Danio rerio: one gene and its partner. The main gene of each other region encodes a partner of the protein of the gene in region 2 in a complex. Links are inferred from orthologs where the notes say so. Each region holds a gene or a part of one and is shown on either strand. Other genes may lie near its edges.

Evidence for each region. Proteins that work in one complex are often made in the same cells at the same time.
Region 1: the proteins of ccnd1 (region 2) and ambra1a are in contact, whole or in part, in a cryo-EM structure (PDB 9IVD), measured with the Homo sapiens proteins. The link is inferred for Danio rerio from reciprocal best matches to the Homo sapiens genes CCND1 and AMBRA1. Residues at the interface, in NP_444284.1 of Homo sapiens: Thr286, Pro287, Thr288, Asp289, Val290, Arg291, Val293, Asp294, Ile295; in NP_001354397.1 of Homo sapiens: Arg54, Ser55, Phe57, Val73, His75, Arg96, Thr97, Trp99, Leu116, Ala139, Arg184, Ile945, Asn1012, Asn1029.

What each region holds. Positions count from the first base shown.
Region 1 is NC_133182.1:39,567,192-39,571,071, forward strand, and holds part of ambra1a (activating molecule in BECN1-regulated autophagy protein 1A), read right to left. Parts: coding exon 3,863-3,880; intron 2,877-3,862; coding exon 2,810-2,876; intron 2,713-2,809; coding exon 1,340-2,712; intron 1-1,339. UniProt on the Homo sapiens protein: Substrate-recognition component of a DCX (DDB1-CUL4-X-box) E3 ubiquitin-protein ligase complex involved in cell cycle control and autophagy.
Region 2 is NC_133182.1:69,631,918-69,636,570, reverse strand, and holds the start of ccnd1 (G1/S-specific cyclin-D1), read left to right. Parts: upstream 1-1,611; 5' UTR 1,612-1,890; coding exon 1,891-2,088; intron 2,089-3,485; coding exon 3,486-3,701; intron 3,702-4,072; coding exon 4,073-4,232; intron 4,233-4,653. UniProt on the Homo sapiens protein: Regulatory component of the cyclin D1-CDK4 (DC) complex that phosphorylates and inhibits members of the retinoblastoma (RB) protein family including RB1 and regulates the cell-cycle during G(1)/S transition.

The DNA.
Region 1 (3,880 bases), about 30 Mb from region 2:
TTTGGGACGCAGCTTATGATTTACTGAAATGTTGTAGATTCAACTTTGAATCAAAAAAATGAAAGCTTAAATGTTGTTTAAATCTGAATTACTCCAGTTGAGAGGATGCTTTAGAAATATTTGTGATAGTATGGCAAATTTAATGCCCAAGAAGCATTTTTATATCATGATACATGCTGGAAAAACAGTTGTGCAGCTTTGGTTGTGGAAACAGTGATATACTGTTAATATTGTTTGAAATGCTTTTACTGTTGCTTTGGAATGGTAGTGCAAATATGGCCATACCTTTTTCTGTTGTTGTCAGTAAAAATGTTGAATGTTGGCAAACAACTGGTCAACATAAACAAAATACCTTATTGTGGCAGATTGGGAAAAGTTTCTAAACATCTGTAATCACTGCTGTTATTTCTATATAGAGGACCAAGAGCATCATCTGACATTAATAAGTTGTGGAATTGCAAGCTAGTTCAGGGGTGCCTAAACTTGGCCCTGCAAAGTTTAGTTCCAACCCTAATAACACACACCTGGGCTAGCCAAACAAGCTCTTACTAAAGCCGCGGTTACACTGCATTTTTCACTCCATAGACTTCCATTCATACACATGAGAAGGCAGCAGACCGGAAACACAAGCCTGTGCGACATTTCACTGTGCAGTTCGCTGGATTGAAAAGGTCAAGTTTGGTAAACTCTGACCTGCAAAGTCGCATCATGTGATTGTGTGAGACCAATCGAAGATCAAAACATGACCTCTCATTATAGAAATTTAAAATATGGATCAATAGCTAATTTTTTAAAAGTCTAATCAGCTCGTTTAATCCCGGCCCTTTTGGCAAACGCCATACAACAGAATTTTGCATACTCAAACTCTACTGTGACCATGGTATTCGCTTTCTAGAAACATCTGTGCAGGTGTGTTGACTGTTGAAGCTAAAATCTGCAGGACACCGGTCCTCCAAGACAAGTTTGGGCATCCACGAGCTAGCTTTTAGTGCAGATAAGTGGTTCCCAATTCCATTCCTCGAGACCATCCGCCTTGCACATTTTGTATGTCTTCCTTACTAAAGATACCTGATTTAGATCATCAGCTCAATAATAGACATCCAAGAACTGATCCTTGTGTGACAAATAAGAGAGACATAACAAAGTTTGCAGAGCAGGAGGGGTCCCGAAGACCAGAATTGAGAAACACTGTTGTAGATTAACTTTAAGAAAAGTTGGACTGGTTTGGAAACTTCAAAACAGCATGTTTTGTTGTACAATGAAACATTTAAACCTTTGGATGCTTAATTCCTCATGGAACAAGTTGTTTAAGCAATTAAAAAAAAGACTACAGCCTCACCTGCGCAAGTAATCGTTATCTGGTGTGTCTTCAGGCATTTCCTGGTTTAAGGCTCCTTGTGATATGTTTGCAGAGCGAGAGGAGGCAGACTGTCTGTAAACACGCTCCAGTTGGCCAGTTTCCTGGTTAAAGACAAGCCCAACGGCCTGCTCCTCATGCTGACCAGTGTCAGTTCTCTGGGAAAATGGTACATGAGGCTCTGGGGTATTTGGTGTGGACTCTATGGGTCTGTGTTCCAGTAGGTGTTCATTAGATTGTGAAACTGGAGCTACGCTGTGGAAGGCAGAACTAGAAGGTTGCCATGGTGTGTTTCTCTCAGTAGATGAAGGCTGACCTGTTCTGTCCCAGCGCCGGCTACCCTGATTGTAGGTGAAAAGATTGTGGCATACTCTACAGCGGTTCATGTGACTGTGGGGAGGGTTTTCACCGCTATAGGGTGACTGGTAATGAGATGGTCCTGGTTGCTCTGGGTCCATGTTGTTGTTGAGCATTTCCTGAGTCTGCTGGTCCTGTCTGCTGCCATCAAGAGGCTGGACCGTGTCCTGCGTTCCCTCATAATCCATAAAATAGCGGTAAAGGTTACAACGCAGGACACTGTGGATGGAAGAGGAGCTGCTCTGTCCCTCTTCTTCTGGAGGACGGTGCCTGCTGGAACTAGTTCCCGGTGTGCTGCCCCATCTATCACTAGCAGAAGTGTAAACAGGTGATTGAAAGGAAGTCTCTTGCTGTCGCAGGACAGAAAGAAGGCTAACAGAGGAAGCGCCAGTTCTTTGTGGAGTCATACTACTGCTTTGTCCATTAAGTCCACTGACTGTCCAGTCTGCTCCAGGGTGACGTCCTCCACCTTCCCTACCTGGTGGATGTTGTCGGAAATGCGGGACAGGTGCCATTCCAGTCACTCCCCTCCTGCCAGAGCTGGAAGAATGATTCCGCATGTTGCTGCCTCCACCATACACGCTGCTGAATGCAGAGGAGCGATTTGCAGCACGAGACTCAACAGAAAACCGTGACATCTGCAGTGGCTCTGTGCGTGCAGAAGAAAAGGTGTGAGCTTGTGCCTCCAGGGATGCCGAGTCTGAAGGGTCCTCATCAGGTGGAGATGGAACTCGTGCTGCAGAGCAACGGCTACAAAAACACACCATTCCAAGCGGCTGAACGCACATAAGAGTGTAAGGGCCAGAAGAATCGGAGGACCCATCAGTGGAAGCAGAATGGGCACCTCCAGCCTGAGGAACAGAGTTGCGGGAAGTGAGGATGTGCAAGAAATTGTGCAAGATGGGTGTGCGCCTCGCAGGCTGGGACTGCAGGAAGGAGCGCTGTCGGAGATGAGGCATCTCCACACTGTCCATTGGAATCTCAGGATCATCATCATTCTGAAACAAACGAATACAAGCACATTTATGGTCCCGAACTTTTAAAATAAACATGGGATGTCTTATACATGTCTTAAACAACAGCAAAAAGACTAACCGGTTGGTTCGAAGGGTTTACAATGGCAGTTAGAAGATAGTGACCCAATGGATCAAATCTCACCAATCTGCAAAAAACACAGAGAAGCCTCATAAAAGCATCAGATGGACTTGCCTGTACAGTAAATGTTCATTATTAAAGATTCACACAAAAAATTTTGAAACACAACTGAAGCTATGTTTTATAACAACTGAAATTTCTGTTCATCCATTGAAAGTATATGTATGTACCAAAGATTTGGGGCTTTAATGGGATAGTTCAACCAAAACTGAAGATTTTGTCATTGTTTACTCGGCCTTTACTTGTCCCGAAGCTGTTTGAGTTGAACACAAAATTTATAAACAATTTTGGAATCCTATGATCATTGACTTACATAGTATTTGTTTTTTCCTACTATGAATGTATATGCATAGCGTACTTTAAAATTCTTCAGTATATCTTTTTTGTCGTTCAACAAAAAAGAACACTTTTCAGAACCACTTCCCTCAGGTAATCCATCTTATGAGTACTTGCTAATAGTAATTGTGAAGCAAACATCACTACTAGCTATACACTTTTTATACACATATACACTTGTTTAACAACATACTTTACATGCCAATTTGCACAGAACAGCTGCACATATACCGTTGTGTATAGTAAAATACCTGTAAAATACCTGTATACACAATCCCGTCTTTCTAATTCTGTTGCACTGTAGAAGCTCCGTCACAAAAACTAATTTCTTGAATGTGTGAACATACCAGGCAATAAAGGTCTGATTCCGATTGAGGGTTAGTACATTTTAATTTTTGGCTGAATTATTCCTTTAACAAGTTTAAATAGATTATAAAAGCAGTCCATATGAATTGAGAGATTAATCCAAGTCTTCTGAAGATTTAAGCTTTCATTCTTGTTGAAACATTAATCAGCGTGCATTCATAAAGACCAAACAGAAGTTAAAAGTTTTTAAAACATAAATGGGGGACATTAATATAGCGACAAAAGTCTCTCATGTTTTAAAAAATGTCTTCATTCGTTTTTTAAAGATGAATAAAATAAAGTGCATCAAACCTGACTCTCTCTGTCTCA
Region 2 (4,653 bases):
TCTATATGTAAAATGACGTGTGGGGGAAAAAAACTTAAATCAGTGGAACATTTAAAGTTTTTCTTGTATTCTAGTTTCTCTCTGCAACTCGTTTTGGTCTTTGTCTTTTCTGTAAAAAAAAAAAAAAAATACAAAATTCCATTATATGCATGTTCTTATAGAGGTTTAAAGTAATAGTAAATAATACAGTAGCCTAATAACAGTTGCTATTATAGCCTAAGATAATATTATACTATGCTAATAAAATAACTTTTGATCTTAGAATGAACGTACTAGCCTGTTTGCTACTAAATATATAATAAATAAATAAATATATATATATATATATATATATATATATATATATACACAGAGTGTTGTTGATATGCTTATGTAAATGACTTGTGAGAACACTTAAATCCATGTAACATTTAAAGTTGTTCCTTTACTCTAGCTTATTTCTGCAACTCTAAAGTTTTTTGTCTTTGTCTTTTCTGTAAAAATAAAAGTTATATTTTTTCTTTAATATGCATGTTCTCAAAAAGGTTTAAAGTAATAGAACTTAATACAGTAACTTAGCTGCTATTATAGCATAATAAGCTTATAATACATTTATTAACATTTAAAGTTGTTACTTTATTGTAGCTTCTTTCTGCAGCTGAAGTTTTGGGCACAGGCAAATTACTTGTTTTACGGTATTGAAGTGGAATGTGCGGAATTTGTAAAGCTTCAATTCATCCTGAAGCGACAGCAGTGAGGTCTTTTAAAGTGAGAGCGCCCCTGTTTGATCAAACTCTATCAAACAATTTGTGTTGTTAAAGCTGCAGATGTCGTGTTTAAACTTTACCGGTGAGCTAATGTTTTCTTTTAACGCGGTTTGTTTCCGAGTCTAAATATTATAACTACTTTATTGTTTGTATTATTTTATTATTTGAAATATTTAATGTTTTGGTGTACAAAGAGAAAAAAAAAAGTTAAATGAGATTTAAGGAAATGTATTATTAAATACGACAAGAAGAATGCTTCACATGATTAATTTTAACAATTTATTTTGTTTATTTAACATTTCCACGAGGAGTTTTTTTTTAGATAAAAGCTCGTGCCGCAGTTCTGCCTGGCAACTGACGTGCTCCTCCATTGGTTTAGGCTAATTTGTGCTTCCTTCTTTAAGTCTAACCCCCCAAAAAGAAACAAAAAAATAAAACAAGCCTCCACCCAAGACCACACATTTGTTTCATATATAGCCTACTGAAACCACATTCAAGTTTGTGCAGAAACTTAGCTATATGAAACTTCATAAAGTAATCCAAAATCTTTTAAAAACATTTTAAAAGCCTGATTTTAAAAGCAGACAAGTGACTGTGACCAAATTTATTTTACAAATAAAACTTTTGATATATGCTTGTACAATTACAGTGACAAAAGTTTTTCAATGCGACAGTGTGGGCACCTTGATTTAGGCTATTATACTGCCCCCTACCAATACTAACCCAATACACATCTTCACCCCAGTCTTTTCCACCCCCGATACCCACGACACTAGCAGCCTGCCCCCTGCGCCCCCACCCCGGCCCAGCCTACCCCCACCACCGCTTCTCCTTGGTCACTCGTCACCCGGCGTAGGACCTCCTATTTCCATAGGGCTAAAGAAAGGAGCCAAAACTGAGAAGCAGATAGTTCTTTAGATTGATCCTCCGCCCTGAGCAGACAGCCTCTCGCTCTCTCACAGGCTCGCTGCTGCTGCTTTGATCTTCCCTTAACAACAGTCACGTCATAGGGGAGTTTTGTCAAGCGGAGAGCTGCAGCGAGACTTTTAGAGGGTTCAGCAGAGGCAGCAAAAAGCATCCACGGGACCAGTGTCCGACTCGAGCTCCAGCTTTCTTACTTTTCTCACTGCTAAACACTGAAGATATGGAGCACCAGTTGTTTTGCTGCGAAGTGGATACCATAAGAAGAGCTTACCAAGACAGCAACCTGTTGAATGACCGAGTTTTACAGACAATGCTTAAAGCTGAGGAAAACTATCTCCCATCACCAAATTATTTCAAGTGTGTTCAGAAAGAAATTGTGCCTAAAATGAGGAAAATCGTCGCGACGTGGATGCTCGAGGTTTGTTTTGGATAATATATTTATATATCTCTTTTTTTTTGCATTTGCTGCTACACACGTTGCCTCACGATGATTCTACTCTTGCTCTTTGGACTCCAAGAAGTATTTATTAAATGAAAAAAAATGCTTTAGTGTGACTTGGGTTCATCGGCATTGCTTATCCATCCCAGAAATATCACACAGAAACACGCTGTCCGATTATTGTTGCTTATTTTTTACGTAAAAATGTTTTATTACGAAATATTAATCCGACACGAGACGTTTTCCGTGCTTTCCGCTTTAGCCTTTTTATTTAGGGTTGTTATTTTTTCATGCATGCGTTTCGTTTCTTATAAATATTTTAAAATATAGATACATTTATTTATTTTTATTTTATTTTAATACCAATGTACACGTATGCATTCTCACTCGTGCCAGTAGCCTATTATACGCCATCTTTGTTGTCGTTTGCTTAAGTTTTTTATTTCTCTAAATTCTAAAATGGAAACATAATTGACATCACCTGCATAAAAGCGCTCACAAGTTGTCTTTTAAATCACAGGTATAACATAAATCAAATTTTTGCAAGAAAACGTAATATTTGTGTCTTAAAAGTTTTGTTTCAGTTTGTCATACCTCCTGCACGACGGTCTAAAAATATTGTATTATTTCATTTCTGAATTCAACATCGTGTTATAACCTATCGGATTATGTTAACCCTCTAATAATGTGGATTTACAGATGTTTAACAGTAGATTTAATGCTAAGGAATAATTTATATTAATTTATGAAACACCCGCTTCACCTAAATGTCGCATGCTTCCCTTTGTATGATGGGGCTTTGGATTTCAGTTCATTTCACGTAGTTTTTGTCATTGCAATCGAAATATTTTTGCATAATCTAATAAAGCATGAGTTACAGTACATTTACATGTGTTTAAAGTCAAGCAAAACAATTTTCGTATATTTTTAAATATTTTTTGAAAAGATGACGAACTAGAAAATTGTTTCCTGAACCGAGCTCAGACGCCACCTTTTTGCCTCGAAAGCAACGACCATTAGCATCAGAAGCAAATTGTAACATTTATACTTTGTGCAACACTTAGGATTAAACTTAAATTACTGATTAAATACTATTTTTAAGCATTTCCACGTGTCTTTTTTTTCTAATTTAACCCTTTCCACTGCACGTGTACGAATCAGCAGATGCTAAACACGTGGGATAACTCGATAAGATCAAAGCATACTGTAGCTTAAAAAATATTTGCACTTCGTTTATTTAATAAATTTCTATGAATAGTTTTTATTTTTATTTTTTATTTTTTTTTATTTATATATTTCTACACGTTTAATTAAAAGAATTAGCTGCTGTTGTGACTTAATATTTATTTATCGTATGCACTTTCTTTTCTTTAAAGGTCTGTGAAGAGCAGAAATGTGAAGAGGAAGTTTTTCCTTTGGCTATGAACTACCTGGACAGGTTTTTATCTGTGGAGCCCACCAAAAAAACCAGGTTGCAGCTTTTAGGAGCAACTTGTATGTTTCTGGCTTCAAAAATGAAAGAGACTGTGCCACTTACAGCAGAGAAGTTGTGCATATACACGGACAACTCTGTCCGTCCCGGCGAATTATTGGTAAATGTTTAATACTCTTTAATTTAGCAGCTTGATATTGTTTTCTTTTTTTTTTTTTTTTTGTGCTGAATTAAAGTAAAATAATGCAATTGAAGGTCATTTTGCTCAAAGACCTATACGTTAAGGTATTGCATGAAACAACGAGCTAAATGAGTTTATCAAAGTGTTAAGGCACCCACAGATATCTGTAAATAACAGTACATGTTACAAATTGTTGGTGCTTTTGATGTGTGCGTTAATTGAACGTAGGCCTTGCGTTATTGTGCAATTAATCGACATCTCCATCTAGCGTTCAAAGAGTGTAAAATCTGAAATGGAAAAATCGTCTGGGGCTTTATGTAAACTTGGACCATTTTATATCTCCCTCGCAGCAAATGGAACTGCTGGCGCTAAATAAACTGAAGTGGGATCTGGCCTCAGTGACACCACATGATTTCATTGAACACTTCCTTGCCAAACTGCCTATACATCAGAGCTCCAAGCAGATACTGCGCAAACACGCCCAGACCTTTGTGGCCCTCTGTGCGACAGGTATGTTTGTACTTTTGAGCTCACTTTTATTTTGTTTCGGTAACTTTGCAAAAGTTTTGAGCACTTTATCATGGTCATGCATTGAAGATCCTTCCCTCACAGTGTTTTACTTTCAGGCAGACTTCTTTATTGCAATTGAACGAGCCATCTTGCTTGTCCTAATTCCATACTCACAGTTATTGTAAACCAGTGAGAGGCTCTGCAAAGAGAGAGGAAGTCTGTTTCCTTTTGTGGTGATTGCTGACTGCTCCAGAGCTTCTGAGAAGCCCTGCCTGCTTCACGATACCGCTTCTGTGCACACAGTGCATGTGAACCAAAAAGCGGAAGTAGTTTTCTGACATTTTCCCTGTGAAAAGGGCTTTGTAACCTGATATTTTCCCATGTCTAGACATCTTGATGTCCAGGTACCCTTTTAGTTAGA